Lepisosteus oculatus: one gene and its partner. The protein of the gene in region 2 purifies or fractionates together with the protein of the main gene of each other region. This does not show direct contact. Links are inferred from orthologs where the notes say so. Each region holds a gene or a part of one and is shown on either strand. Other genes may lie near its edges. The genes, in order: prkar1ab and akap11.

Evidence for each region.
Region 1: the proteins of akap11 (region 2) and prkar1ab purify together in Homo sapiens (affinity purification with mass spectrometry; 3 studies listed by BioGRID and IntAct, counting the BioPlex papers as one, with this or other methods). This does not show direct contact. The link is inferred for Lepisosteus oculatus from reciprocal best matches to the Homo sapiens genes AKAP11 and PRKAR1A.

The regions. Positions count from the first base shown.
Region 1 is NC_090704.1:39,814,859-39,823,029, forward strand, and holds the start of prkar1ab (protein kinase, cAMP-dependent, regulatory, type I, alpha (tissue specific extinguisher 1) b), read right to left. Parts: upstream 3,175-8,171; 5' UTR 3,044-3,174; intron 2,010-3,043; 5' UTR 1,961-2,009; exon of another isoform or gene 1,923-1,960; intron 1-1,922. Other genes in the region: actin-related protein 2/3 complex subunit 1A-A, read left to right, coding at 5,665-5,728, 6,286-6,390, 7,576-7,804, 8,053-8,160. UniProt on the Homo sapiens protein: Regulatory subunit of the cAMP-dependent protein kinases involved in cAMP signaling in cells.
Region 2 is NC_090710.1:16,668,298-16,675,665, reverse strand, and holds the start of akap11 (A-kinase anchor protein 11), read left to right. Parts: upstream 1-4,101; 5' UTR 4,102-4,166; intron 4,167-4,435; exon of another isoform or gene 4,436-4,513; intron 4,514-7,368. UniProt on the Homo sapiens protein: Binds to type II regulatory subunits of protein kinase A and anchors/targets them.

The DNA of each region.
Region 1 (8,171 bases), on a different chromosome or scaffold from region 2:
ACTTATTTCTTTACTTAAATTCAAAGATAACGCACAAAACATGTAAGTGAAGACACTTAAATCCTTCATACAAAGAGTGAAAGTGTTTAAGACAAAACTGTTCATGTAGCCTTACATATGAAGTGTAAAAGTTTGCTCAGGTTTGAAACATACTCCTGTTGTTTAGACTGCAAGATCTTTGGTGAGAACCTAAACACAAAATACTATCAAAAATGTGGCTTTCAGATCAGCATGTTAATAAATGCAAAGTTTCTTTCCATTGAACATCTCTCTTCTATCTATTAACCACAGAAGTCAACCAACAGCATGAACGTGCAGTACATCCGGAGCTACTATCAACCAAAAAAGGAAACAGCTCTTTTTTAACTGCTCCATACCAGGATAGATTTAATGGTGGCCTCAACTATTGACCCATGATCTCTGTAAGCTATTGAACATATGCCAGAGAAGGCCTCTTTTTCACATTTTAGCTTTGTTTGCAACAAAGTGAACTGTGCTGAAATGTCATTAGAAATGTTGAAGACCTGCCTGTCTTTATTGGCTTGTCTTAATATACTTAATACTTAAACCCAAAAGCAACTTTCTTAAAACCAATGAAAATAATTCCATAACTTTAAATCATTAAGCAGATATTAAGAAATTACTTATTTGAACATGCTACTAAAACAAAACAGATAAAGCGAGTGTACTAATTCATTCTGTTCCTCAACAGATCATTATTAGAGCACCACCTTGCTTAACAGTGCACTGCTGCTTGGATTCAGGTCAATACGAATCTCTTTAAGATTTGCCTATTTATGTACATAGTCAAAAATAAAATTAAGATAATGTATTAAAAGTTCTTAAACCAATTTTCTTAAATCAAATATAAGAAACTTAAAAAGTTACAAAAGATTAAAAGCACTACAGAGAGGATGAAATGAGTATAGAAAAATGTTGAAGCAGGGCTGCAAAAATGTTAAATCTTTGCTCAGTTTCCTGCCTTACACAAAATAATTATCCATGCCAATCAGTAACGATATATGCAAGTGAATAAATATATATACATGTGTATATAATGTCACATGTTCAAATACAACATAGTAAGCACATGTAAATCTAAGGTCTGCTTCCTCTGAACTTGTGTTTCTTGCTTAGAGTGGGTAAAACTTGGCAGAAAACTCCCATCAAAAGTAGAATTCAATTTATGTATACATAAATTACTCATAAGCCTTTGTGGTAGTTGATCATATTCACAGATGTATCTAGACAAAAAATGACACTTAAATTTTAAATATTTTCTATTTTCAAATATTCACAATCTTGCCATTTGCTGCTGTTTATTTTTGTAAAGAAAAAAATAATTTTGTTCCAGATCATTATGTACACTTCAACACAGGTGAGACACCGCTGTTGTACCTTTGTGCAAGGTATTTCATATATACTGTTCCAGCAAAATACCCAGCTGTATAAACAGGTGCAAACATAAATTGCTTTGGATAAAAATGGAAGCCACATAAGTCAGTAGTAAATTAGGAAACTATAGAGGATTCCTTCATTGCAGAAATATTAACAAACCCTATTGATTTACTAAATATCAAAAAGTTAATTTTTAAAACAACTTTCTGCTAATTTCATTAAACAGTTTAAAATCAATTTTAGTTTTCCTGCACAAAAAAACAAAGAACTAAAATAGCCGGAATGCTAAAACACCCGACAAATACAGGAAAAAAATATGGAAATCTTGAAAATAGATTAAAACTTGTTGAAAATCCATTTAAATACAGATACTCTGCCCTCTCTCCGTTATATTTAGAAACAATTTTTATTAAACAAGTAAAGGTCATTACAGTTTGAACTGTCTAACTGCACCTCATGCTCCATCTTATTAGTAAAGGGGGCTGTGTTGTTTTAAATATTCCAATTTTGTTTTCTTATCTCACCGACTTGCTACTGAATAAAACTCCGATCTGTGTTATACCACGATATCACAGGACCTGGCCGCCAGACCTCTAGCTGCAAATCAGGATCTGTTTAAAAACAAAATATTTCACTAAATTGCACGATATAACTTTTCCAAACGAATAAAGAATTTAATGATCTATCAGACAGGCCACTGTCTCAGCACTGCACTGTATATCAAAGCTTGACAAAATGATCTCAACACCATACAACAAAACTGAAACACACAACATGCAGAATATCAAAAGTTATACGTCGCTTGCATGTTTGTATAACTCGACTTTGCATATTAAACTGGGTTCTATCTTATAATTTCAACAAAACCGGTGTCAGCTGTAAGCGTTTATGTGACTGTCACAAAACATTTAAAGTGATTATAAACTTCAATAATTAGCATAAAATGTAAACCCATGATAAGCTAAAACATCAACGACTTGTCAAGTACTTGTTTTATTTTTTTTTGGTTATGAGTGGAAAAAACACACTCCTACATTTCAATGGGTACTGATGCCATTATAAAAATCTATACAGCAAACGAGGAAAAAGTTAACCGACACACTGCTCTGTGCATGTAAGATAATCATCAACATCGAGATCACTCCACATCAAATATAAAACAGGAGACATTAGGGTCTCCAAGGCAGTATAAACGTTAGGTAATTTCAACGGTCTTTTGCCTTCCGAATTTGTCGCGATTTCCGAAATAAAATGGGGCACAGTCGAGAGTCTTTGACCGAACTGACAACATAGCGGTGAGCGTCTGTAAACAGCATCTGACAGCAGGCTCTCGCCATCAAACGAGGGGGTATCAAATTAACGGAAGAAACGCCATCTTCAATAGGACACGTAACTATCCAATAAATATACAAATCCTTTTAGAAGTTTCTTACGCGAAGGCTCGCGAGGGTAAAGAGAACTTTGAGAGTCGCGTAAACATATTTTGGGGCCGCAGAGCCCTCTTCCTAGTGACGCCATCTTGAAAAGCTATCATAACAAACGGGAGGCGCAGACGACACGACTAGCGGTTTCTCGCAATTCGCTCTCGTACATAACTCCAGTATCTGACAAAGAAGCCTTACAAAACAGACGGCCAACGACTTACCCAAGCCGTTAGAATTTACGTTTCCGTTCGTTGGCCTATATTTTCTCACTGACACTGAAAAAAACTCCTCGCTTCGCTTTTCCCCAGTCCTTGGATGGCTGCCCCACCGGAAACGTGGCAGGACCAATCACAAGCGACCATTGACGTCAATTGGCCTCGTTCTGACACGATAGCTGTAACCCTTAGCAACCTTAAAGGGCAAGTTTGAACGAATTCATGACGTCAGAACAAGAATCTGGCGTCAGGATTTGTACCGGAAGTGGTAAAACACAGCAATGGTTAATGTATATTATTATTGTCCTTCTTGTGGAGACGAAAAACGTGGTTCTCCGTTGGAAATATGTATTTTTAATCTCTCTCATTTTATTTAAAATACATATGCTGTGATTCAACTCTAAAGAAGACTCTTTTAACCATTTACCCAATCCCATAATAACAGATCAAGGTTAACTGAGGTAGTGTTGAAATTTAGATATCACCTTTACTTACTGACAAAACCATTGGATAACAGCATTATGAAATATATACCTATTCTTTAAAAATGTTTTAATGCATGTTTACAACATTTCAAGCCACATTTGTGTGTCAAATTATTAAATTACATCTGAGGAATCTATTTCAATCTACTCGGAAGAAGCAATTTTTCTTAAACAGATTTGAAAATCCTTCCTTGGGGGTGATTCATGTTCCCAGGCCAAAATGTTCTGAGTGTTCTTCTCTAAAATGCAAAAATAAATTATTTAAACAATTTTGTTTTTAGTTTTGAACAGAGAAAACTACAAAGAGACCAGGCTGAAATATTCACATGCTTTTAAAGTCATCCCAATGGACTACAGAGCAACACAGAAACACATACCAGAGACTATAAATAGACACTTTGAGGAAGTTCATAAACAGAGAGTTGATTTAGTCTTCAGCGTTTACCATGTTGCTACTGGCATTCCTGTCAGAATTATACTCTTTTACTTGTACTTAAACACACCACTCCTCCTCTTGGCAAATTCCAGGAGTTTGCCGAGGGCTGAAAACACAACCCCCTCCTTCTCTTCCCATCTCTCTCCTCCCTCACGGCTGCCTGTGCTGGCCCGTCCCTGAACACACCTCCATTCCTATTGACTGTCTGGAGTCCAGAAATACAGCCCAACCACAGAATTTCTCAGGTGTGGGGAAATTAGGCAAACCAGTGTCCTCAGCATTACTGACTCAGTCACTCCACTGCCATACAGCCGCCGTCCCTGCAGGGTGAGTGCCACTACCATTTCATGTTCTTTTGTAAATTGTGTCTGCTTCTGGGGAGGTACGCATTTTTTTTAAATCCACACGAACAATACTCTTTTTTATCTTAGGTGCATGTAAAACACCTACTTACAGTGTACTGTGTTCCCTTAGTGAAGTGTGACTGTGTCGAACTACCAGGTCCAACAGTGGACATCTTTATGGGACTGTCAGGCTAATAAGGCAGCACAGTGTACTGTATTTATATTAATACCCAGTTTGGTGCAGTGGCTCTGTAGCTAAGGATTTGTGCCTGTGGCTGGAAGGTTGCTGGTTCGTATCCCGCGGCTGGCAGGGGAATCCTATTCCGTTGGGCCCCTGAGCAAGGCCCTTAACCATAACTGCTCCAGGGGCACTGTGTAAGTGGCTGACCCTGTGCTCTGACCCCAAGCTTCTCTCCTTGTCTGTGTGTCTCATGCAGAGCAAGTTGGGGTATGCAAAATGACAAATTCCTAATACAGGAAATGTTATATGACCAATTAAGTGTTTTCTGTGGATCTTGTGTCAATTAAATGATCTTATCACACAATACATTAGGGTCTTAGTTCTAAAGAAGTAAGGATCAATATAAAAGAAACATCTGAGAATAGTGAGATAAGAAAGCACCATGAAGATTTAAGCTACACAGCTTTGACTAATTTAAAAATATATAGATATATCATTCAATGCTCTGAAATCTAAATTCACAGTTACGAAATGGTGGTTAGCCTGCTTTTTAACAGGGTGCAAGAAAAAGCAAAGTTTGAGAAGAACTGGCACAATCTTATCATTGGAAAAACACAGGGAAAAAAAACAGGTGTGTCGTTCTGTCTTAAAGGCAACTCGATCTCAGTGCCTCACAATCTCCCAGCTTTGCACTAAAGATCTGTTGAATGTAAATTTGGAATGAAGACCCAATGTATGATATTCAAGTAAAGATTTATAACCCAATTGACCCAACTTTTTTTGCTTTGTCATGAAAAGTAAGAACTGTGTAAAAACAGCTATACCACTGTCACTAGAGCCAAGAATACTGCAGATTACACTTGCATGGAATGGAATACAAGCTTATTATTCAGGTTATTTATAAATAGACCACTATAAAGGTCTTTTTATATTTCTTAAACTTTTAATTTCCCTCAAAAGGAGCTTAACTTTACACACAATAGTCTTAAACAGTTATATTTTCCATGCTGATGTGAAAGACTCAGTGAATACAAAAATATGCTCATGAAGTTCTAAGGCTATGCAGGGTGCTGTCAAAAGTAGGCAGGGTTTCTTGCTTTATTGATGTGCTTCTCTGTGCTCTTGCTGCAGGGTGCTCAAAATCCTGGACAACACATTCCAAGAGCCTCCCTTGTTGAAACATGTCTCTGTACAGCTTCGGACTTGATCCGTTGTCATGTCATGCCTGGAATAAAGACCGAACTCGTAAGTAAAAAAAAACTGGTCGAGCAGCTTCATCCTACTCCAGTCTTAGGGGTCCATCCTCTATGCATTGTACAATGATTTTGTCAAGCCTGTGTAATATCTATCTACCGATCTATTTTCTAACTGCTGTATCCAATACAGAGTCGCAAGGGAACCTGAGCCTATTCCACGTAATATCCAGCACCACCATTTTAGGTCTTTGCTCAACACTTTTGTCTGTATCTTTCTATTTGGGCCATAAATAGTTTCTGTTACATGCCTATGTCTTTCTGCCTTAACAGACATTCAGGAGGTCTTTGAGTATGTTTTCTCATGAAAAAGTTTAGATGGTTTACTTATAAGGGAAAAATAGCCTGAAACTGAATAGATTTTTTTCTGTTGGTGAGGAAAAGTGTTTAAAAGTCTCATCTTTCTTTTGTGGGGCGGTGATTAGTGAACTTGATATCACACTTTTAATGGGCTAAAATGCCACGACGTGAGAGCCAGAATCGTTAGTTCAGTAAATACTATACTGTATGTAAGCAATGCAATATGTTTAATATTTTTTCCCCTTGCAGAAATCGCCATCAGTCCCAACAATAATGAGGTCCACATTTACCAGAAAAAGGGGAAAGAATGGAATAAGATCCATGAGCTGAAAGAGCACAGTGGTCGCATCACAGGTAGTGCAACTTTGGAGAAGAATCTATGACTGAATCGACATAACCTTTAAAATAGTTAATTGTTTGAAGCAGTGTGGCCTCTGTGCATCACAGAGCAGCAACCAAATACATAGAAAATCAAAACATGCAGCTGTTGCATCCTTGTATTAAGGTAACTGAAACACTTTTATACTGTATATACAGTACATATGCAATTGTGATTAAAGTCTCAAGTTTTAAATAAAGAAACAAAATTTAAAAATAGTCATGGAAGTCAGGACTGTAATGTTTCTCATTATGTATAACCTTGCTATCTTTTAAAACATAAATTCCTTTTCTGTCAGTTTTGGACACAGCATTCTCTCTTGCACAGAGTACATTCTTCAGCACTTTGTTTTGACTTCTATTCAATCAGTTCACACATACTGTACATACAGCATGTGTTTTTACATTTCAAGTCTTCACTGCACTTTATTGTAAACATGGGATAATATAGAAAATGTTAATGATCAAGAGGTAGAAACAGACTCTTTCAAGAACATAAGACTTTCAGAACAGGCTGTCTGTTTGGCCCAAGTAACTTCTTGGTTGCTAGCAGGTGATAGATCAGAGGACCCTATCCACGCATTTCTAGACGGAAATCAGGGAATTAACATAAATATTGCTGAGTGTATTATGTTTTGAAATGAAATAAAAGTTTTGTGGTTGGATGGCTTGTTCCAGTTCCCCACAACGCTTTGTGTACAGCCAAGTGCTTTTCTTTCTTACATTAACTTCCCCTTGGTGGTATTCACTGATGTCTTCTGGGTCACATTTCACAGTTGTCTGTGAAGACGTCCATTGATTTGACTTCGTCATTACCTTAGAGAATTTGGAATACTTAAATCAAGAACCCTCACACTTGAATTCATTCGAGACTGAAGAAATTCAGTTTCTCTAACCTCTTCGGACTGACTCCAGTGTAGATATGTCCTTTTTGAAATGTAATGACTAACCCTGTGTACAGTATTCTAAATGAGGTCTTTCAAATACATTACATAATTTAACATCATTGCCATGTTAACGTCAAAAAGCTTTCTTTTGGTATCATGATTGTATGTAACATTTCATTATCTGAATGCTTTAGTTTTTGGGAACAACTCATGATCAGCTATGATCATAGTACTGGGGCAATGTTATAGGTTTAGCCTGTGTGTGTGCTTTCAGGTATAGACTGGGCTCCCCAGTCCAACCTCATTGTGACCTGTGCCTCTGACAGAAATGCCTATGTGTGGACCCTGAAAGAGGAGGGTATGGTATGGAAGCCCACCCTGGTGCTGGTTCGGATCAATAGGGCCGCCACCTGTGTCAAGTGGTCTCCACTAGGGAACAAATTTGCTTTGGGCAGTGGGGCGAGAATCATCTCCGTTTGTTACTTTGATAAGGGGAACAACTGGTGAGTGCGATGAAGAGGGTGTGTGATTTTCTTCGCCTCTGTTTTTTGTCACCTGTTTTTAAGCTGGCAGAAATGCAGACTCTGCTACTGTGTTCTGACATACTGTACTGCCACACAAAGAAGAACTCGCATTCTGTTTCCAACCAGAAACCTCTAGCTGTGATTTCAGTCTTTCTTTTTTGCTGTTGTAAATTCTAGCCATCTGTGGCTCTTGATATTCACAGATAATGTCTTCATTTGATTTCCAGGTGGCTGAGCAAGCACATCAAGAAACCTATCTGCTCCACCATTCTGAGTCTTGACTGGCACCCCAATAATTTCCTCCTGGCTGCTGGCTCTGCAGACTTTCACTGCAGGTCAGGGTCTC
Region 2 (7,368 bases):
ATGTGTATTTTTGTATTCTGCTGAAATCAGTGGTTCAATTTTGTTGTACATTTTGAAATGCCTTAAAGTAAAGGCTACCAGTTAAGATCTTCCTACCTAAATAAAACTGAATGCATTCATGATGTGTTGTATTTACTCTCTTCAAATGTCAAAACACCCCAGGCCATGTTCATAAAGCCTTTGCAGCTGTTTTAAATGGACACCTGCTTTTTCTTGAAAGAAAACCACAAAAATTAGGGGAGTGAGATAAATCTTTGTGTACACGTTTTAGAGTTTCTGAAAGACATTTGTTTTAATTTATATTACAGGTGGTAAAAATAACATTAAATTCCACCTACTGTCTGAACATTTGGTCTTAATTTAATTAAAATAAAAGGATATTAGAGCCAGAGGCTATAATAATGAAATATATAAATTCCCCAAAAGTGATTTATGCAAATTTATATAATACTTAAGTATTAATGTAATTTCAATCTTATTTTTCAGCTAGTTCCATCCTTCTATAGGAAACATTAAGTATTTTTAAAACACATAATTTCAATTAATCCCAGTGCCTTTTCCCAAACAGAAATTGAGCTTGGTTTAAAATCAGTATATGGACACATGTGTATAGAAAGGAAGATATAATAGTAAGATTGTAAAATCCTATCGTAAAAATAGTAAAATCCTCGAAATTTGGAATTGTAAGCATTATAAGGCTGCAGAAAAACAGAAGAGTATTTCTTATTTAGTACAGTTATACACTGACAATGTGAGCTGTAAACCCATCATAGCAAATTAATGTGCCTTAATATATTGCAGTATTAAAAAGGGCAATAAAATATTTCAAAAGAAGGGATCAGGTGGTTATGAGAGTAAAACACTCAGTGTTTTTGAATAGTTACTATAGGCTCCTGCAGAATGTTTATGAGCTGAAGAAAGCAGATCACAAGATCGAGTTGTGTAATCTGTAAGAATATCCCTCATAAGAGGCTTGAGAACCTATCCACTGATTGCAAGGTATGAATAAATGTGAGCATCATGAACTTAGAAATATATGCTATTTTGACAGATATCCCATTTCATAATCATAATAATAATTCCTTCCACTTCTGTAACACTCTTCTGGACACACCACTAAAAGCGCTTTACAGGTAATGGGGACTCCCCTCCACCACCACCAGTGTGCAGCCCCACCTGGATGATGCGATGGCAGGCAGTGCACCAGTACGCTCCCCACACACCAGCTATCAGTGGGGAGAAACCGGAGAAAACCCATGCAAACTCCATACAGATAACATCCCGCATCCAGAACTGAACCAAGGGGCCCTGCGCAGCAAGGCATCAATGTTAACCACAGCACCATCGTGTCGTCCAACATACAACTAAAATAATAACAAATTATTGGCAGAGAGCAGAAACTTTGTTCACCCTGAAACTTCTTATCTCATGCTTTTGGATTTGTACAGTAAATAAAATATGCTGACTGAATCATTTTCCAAAAGATATGTACTGTAATGAAGACGGAAATATTCACCAAAATACAGTACATTAAACTACACTGAAAATTGAATGCACAATATCCTGTAGTTCAAAGTCACAGTGTTATACAAAAGGGAAAGCAACATATTACAATATAACACAGCAATCGCCTTCAAGGTGTGGTATTTACAACAACTGTGTCATCCATTTCCCAGTGTGCCCAGTGAACCCATGTGATGAAAATCTCAGGCAGCCAGGAAGGGTTGCAGGTTGCGTGTTAGGACTGTTCTTCTCAGCTGTAGTCTGTGCTCGTGCAGTTTTTCATCTCACAAAGGGAGGCTCCAATACGTGTGATCTCCCCTCTCGTGTTCCCGCTGGGGCAAAAGGCTATGGGTTCAAGTCGCCAATTCATACATCACTGCGGTGTCCCTCACAGAGACATTTACTCGGATTACTCTATAGTCACGCCAAGTGAGAGCAAATACTGCACATGGGTTAACAATGAAACAAGTTGTGTTCATTGTGTTACGATTTCTCATTCCAGCTCCTCTTACCACAAAACTAAATGAAAAATCTTACTACAGTCCCGTCTCCTGTAGCACTGCTGATTCAACGAAGACCAAATTCAACGAAGACCAAATGAATATTCATACACAATTCTTATCTATCTCTTAGGCCGTGCAAGATGTTGGAGCAAAATTTGACAGCCTTAAGAGTTTCAGGGGTATACCAGTTATACCCATAATTCACTGTGGCTTTTAACGCCCACACTAACCTCTGCTGGTGTCCCAATCTAGAGAGATAGGGTAGGTTAAGCCACATTGTATATACAGTATAAATGATTGATAGAGAAAGGTAGTTCTATGTCATATTGAAGGCTTAAATGATTAAAAAATAATTTCAGACAAAGGCCTTCTGCAGCTGGTTAAACAGCAGCGAAAGGACTTTTGTCAGACACCAATGTTTCCTTAATCATTCCAACCTTGTGTAGATCGGAAGAACTTTCTTTTCTTTATCAGCCTCTGATAATATACAGTCCCATAAAGAAAATTTAACGTTGAGCTAGAAGTTTACAACACATGTAATTCAGCCAAGCTTTTATGCGTGACTTAGTGCCTTTGTTCTCTCTCATTACCCCTCAGCAGGACTGGAATTATAGACTGCACTTTCAAAGGACCACTTTATTAATCCATTATCCTCTGAGACTACTGGACTGACAGCACAGCCATTCAGTCTGGAGCGAAACACTGCTGTGACATAGTTGTAAATTTAATATAAATCCTATGTTGTAACTGTCTGTCAGGATGGCACAGAGGAATTTAATATGACAGATTGGTGGCTTCTGCTGATACCCAAATTCATAGCTAGGCCGTTTTCAAAGTGTTTTGCTCTAGAGCTAAACTTATCCTCCATATTCTAAAACTAATCTTAAAGATATCTGAGGTGCAAATTTGATTATTTAGATGTTCAAAAAAATATCTATATAATAAGTGAAATATGCACTTGTTTTACATCAACACATTTATTTCAATTATTATTGTCTCCTTGTGCGTGCGATGAACAGGATGTAGTCCCGCCTTGTACCTCTTCTGCTACCAGGGTAGACTCCACATTGCCACAACTTAAGAGAACGCCAGGAAGGGTCTTTCCAATATTGGCTTGATGCAGGTAAGAACATACAGTCAGAAAAATTACAAATGAGAGGAAGGCATTTGGCCTTTAGTACTTATAGGATCCCATTATATCATCCAGGTGTGTCTTGAAGGAAGCTATGGTATCAGTTTCAACAACATGACTTGTTCCACACTCCCACAATCCTTTGTGTACAGAAGCACCTCTTCTTTACCTTCTGTGTCCCCACAGAACACATCCTCTGCTTGCATCCAACGTCCAGTGGGAATCCAGAAGCTTTGTATCGGGTGCCATCATACAGTAGTCTTCTCTGTTCAAGACTACACATACTAATTTCTAGTCTCGCCATTCCAGACTGTAATCAAATTATTTGCATATGAATTAATGATATATTATATACTGAGGCATAAAAATGCATATAATTCTTATTGAAACTTAGAAATTCCAGAATTTTAATGACTCTCATGGTATGTAGTTATTTGTTACACTTATGCTTTTGATATATTCAGTATTCTTTGATGTGATACAGTAAATTCCGTAACATTTAAAAAAACATAATTTACACCTGCATTTCCTTTATTAAACTTTTAGTTACAGTTTATCCTGATATGAATACATTTTAATGCTACTGTGCATCAATCACTTCACATGGTGGTCACCAAAAATGTTATTTTTTTAATGCTATAGTAACATTCAGAAATATTTATTAATATATAACAACAGAGGTTGTGTTAGGGTTAGAGTAATGATGAATAGTTAATATGCATTTGAAAAATGACCATTAAATTATTATGAATGTTAATAAGTCGCATGTAGCCTTAGGGATATTTTATTCCTATAAAATCTTACCTTTTTTTTACTTTAAAGGGATCAAACTACCACCTTTGAAATGCAATTCAAATTAAATGTACATTTGAAGTAATCATTAAAAGTAGTAAAACATTTACACGAAGTAATCATTTTCATAAAAATCTTTGGGGTACGTCATCGGTTTGACAACAGCTACCTTGTCCGGCACAAAACTTAAACAGACTCTACGTCCGTATCCAGGCTCACAGAAGCTACAATATACTGTACGTATACACTATGTTAACAACGCAATAATTTATTTTTTCCATGTGGTTGTAATTTGAACATCAACCAAACGTCTGCTTTAGCTTTTTAAAATCTTAAAATTGTGCCCGGCAAATTGTAAAAAATAAGCCGGAATGTTGTAGTTCCGAGGTGTTAATTTTACACTGGTGGAAAATTATATAAATTTGCAACCTTTTCGCATTCCCATCATCGTTTCGGTGTTCCTTAGTAACCCTGGCAGCTTTCTCCCACGAATATATCATCATTCGGACTGGATTGCTTCGGCCTGGTTTCTCTTGTTTTTGTGAAATGAACTGACAGCAGCCGCGGGTCCGACGGCGAAACGGTGAGAATCATTTTTGAGATGAAAGTGATTACACATGACACACCTTTTCTTGACAGGATCGCACATCTGTTGTGGTAAACGAACATGTGTTCTGGTCATGCATGGGTAAATGACGGATGATACAAACGGGTCTGGTTAATGTTGTTTTTTTTCAGGCCGCGGCCCTGAAAACAATTCTTGGAAAATAAAAGCTTTAATGGCAGTCTTTCCGTTCCCCTGCGCGGGGTTGGAAGGGAAAGGGGGTAGTGGGTTTGTATTGAGTCGCTATTCTGTGTCTGGACGCTGATGGTTAAAAACTCGACATGTTGCATTCGCTATAGTGTCCTCAAAGACTGGAAATCCAAATAGCATCGATACAGTACAGCAGCAGGGAAGATGCGACACTAATTCATCCACAGTAGGAATGCGAGTGGGTTGATCGCTTTTCCCAGGGAGTGTAAACCATCTTCCCCCCAGACTGGAACTTTTGCCATAATTAGGGAGCACCAGTACCCTATGTGCCTGGTTTGTTTTTAGATTGCGTTTATGCCGTCGCTAGTATGTTATCGGGTGTTTCGGCAGTTTTCCGTCTTCGGTTTGTGACGCCCAGCGGTTTTACAGCATGCCGAAGTGCGGCATTAGCGCTGGCTGCTCAGATTAATTCCCCTTCACAAAGCGTTTCCCCTGCAACGGTCAATACACTATTCACATGAGGTGAAGGTGATAAGAAATCTACTTTTTTTGTGCTGTGTAATTAAGTGTAGTTATTAGGCTCCATACATTTTTTTTTATTTTCATATAAACTGTGAGCACTGGGATATTAGAATTCATGCTGTAAATAGGATGTGCATTCGAAAAGGTGTCATTAATCAAGGAGTGTGGAGGGTCTTGTGCTATAGAGTAGCGTGGAGCATCGACCCAAGTGTCTCTTTTGAGTGTTAAAAGTCAAATACATCTCCTCAAATGACACCATTTTCATTGCTTATTCTGATTGGACTGTGACTGGATGTCCGAGGTTGTTTGAATTGGCATACAGTACGAAACTTAGTGCGATTAGGAAATACAACCCGAGGACTGTTGTCTGTCCTCTTTCACATATTACTTTCTAAGTCAGATGGACACTTCCAGCCTGATCATGTCCAGTTGCTGCTGTGCAGAAAGATGTGCATGTCTCATGTTGTTGGAGAGTTTACTGTTATTGCCGTTTCTAAAGTTGCAGTATGTTTGCTACAAATTCTAAATCCTAAGTACAGTATTTCTTAGTACAGATCCTGGTTTCCGTTCAGTATCCACCCCCGTACTCGCGCCCACACTGACATAAAAACTGTACACGCACGCTTGAAAGCCTGACCTATATTAGTGTTCCTATGTTTGTAAATGTTTGCTCATACAGATGGTTGAACAGACATTCTCTTGAGCTTTTTGAAATAGACACATGTGAGCTCTACCATGCAATGTTAGTCTCACGCATACAGTTAGTGACCCCTGTTCTCTGCTTTCGGAGAGAACTTTGCTACTCGCAAACACACATACACAAACTAACAGGGTTAACAGAACATAGGAACGGCCATCTTATACAGTTTTTTGTCTCATCAAAACTTAATTAAAGCCTAAATAACTGTCGGCTTAGAAGAATACATTTGCGTAGTATTTTAAGCGCCAGTGAGGGTCACAGAGGTGTTGGCTACTTTCTTCATTTCCAGGAGCGGCTGGCTAAGGTTTCAGCTGATTTAGGCCAATTCTCATAAATACAGGGCATCAAATAAACAGTCGCTTACTTCTGTTGACTCATCGTTTGAAAGAGAATCGTTTTGGTTACGTGCCATGGCTTTGGAAGAGATGCGCACGAAGCTTTCTGGCGGGGGTTTTTTTCTCACATCTGCAGCTTCCTTTGTTTGCAATGGGAAAGAATTCCAGGCAGCGCTGTGGTGCTGGTTGGATGTCTACTGTGTCACAGGACGGTTTCTTCACTCTGGGAATGACGTCCAATCTGTTTGAGGCTGCACATTTTTCCTTGCGCGCTCACGGGCGATGGATGTGAACGCTGACCAAAGATAGATTCAGCGACTGGACTATTCACACAATGATTAATAGCACCTAGTTTTACAATGGGACAGTTCTGGTGTGTTGTTTAAATCAGTTCTCTTGCTAACCACTATGAAAAGGTGAATCATGCTAAGCATTGCCATACAAAGCATTCAGTACGTCATTCAGTGTGCTGTTACTCTTTTGCTGTCATTCGTAATCAAAAACAGGGAAAATACTGGGGTAGGTCCTTTCTGTATTGGGAACCAAAAACCACTGTTTGGTAAGGTTTGCTTTTTTACTCAAAGACTGCTGGCTGGGGTTTGTTCCTGGAAAAAGATTTGGCTCATCTCTCCTACTGTAGAATCGTAGACACAAAAAGATTTAACTCTTTGATTGTAATGTCCCCTCACAGTACTCAGTATTGTCTGGGAAGCTATTATTATTATGAATGTTTTGTCATTTAAATTCATGTCACTAACAAAACATATGGCATCCTGGTGGGTCTGGCTGATACTGTTTTTCATTTAAAATCTTCTAATGGCAGTTTTCCTTTATATAATGTTTCTGAAATTTGTAATACTCCTACTGTATGTGCTGCACATGTGTCTAAATGCATGCTCTGTTTGTTGCCACATTTCCTCCAGTCATTTTTAGGTACTGTACGTACAGCCCAGCAGGGTCCTCACCTGAGATGTTGATAAAGGAGTCTGTTCCTCTGCTACTGCACCGGGCACAGTTTGCCTCTTGACCTAGGACGTAGTTGCTGTAGGCAGGATCACTGCTGTTAACAACATTCATTTCAACAATATTTACGATAGTGAAATTCTTTTAGTCGTGCAACACCAATA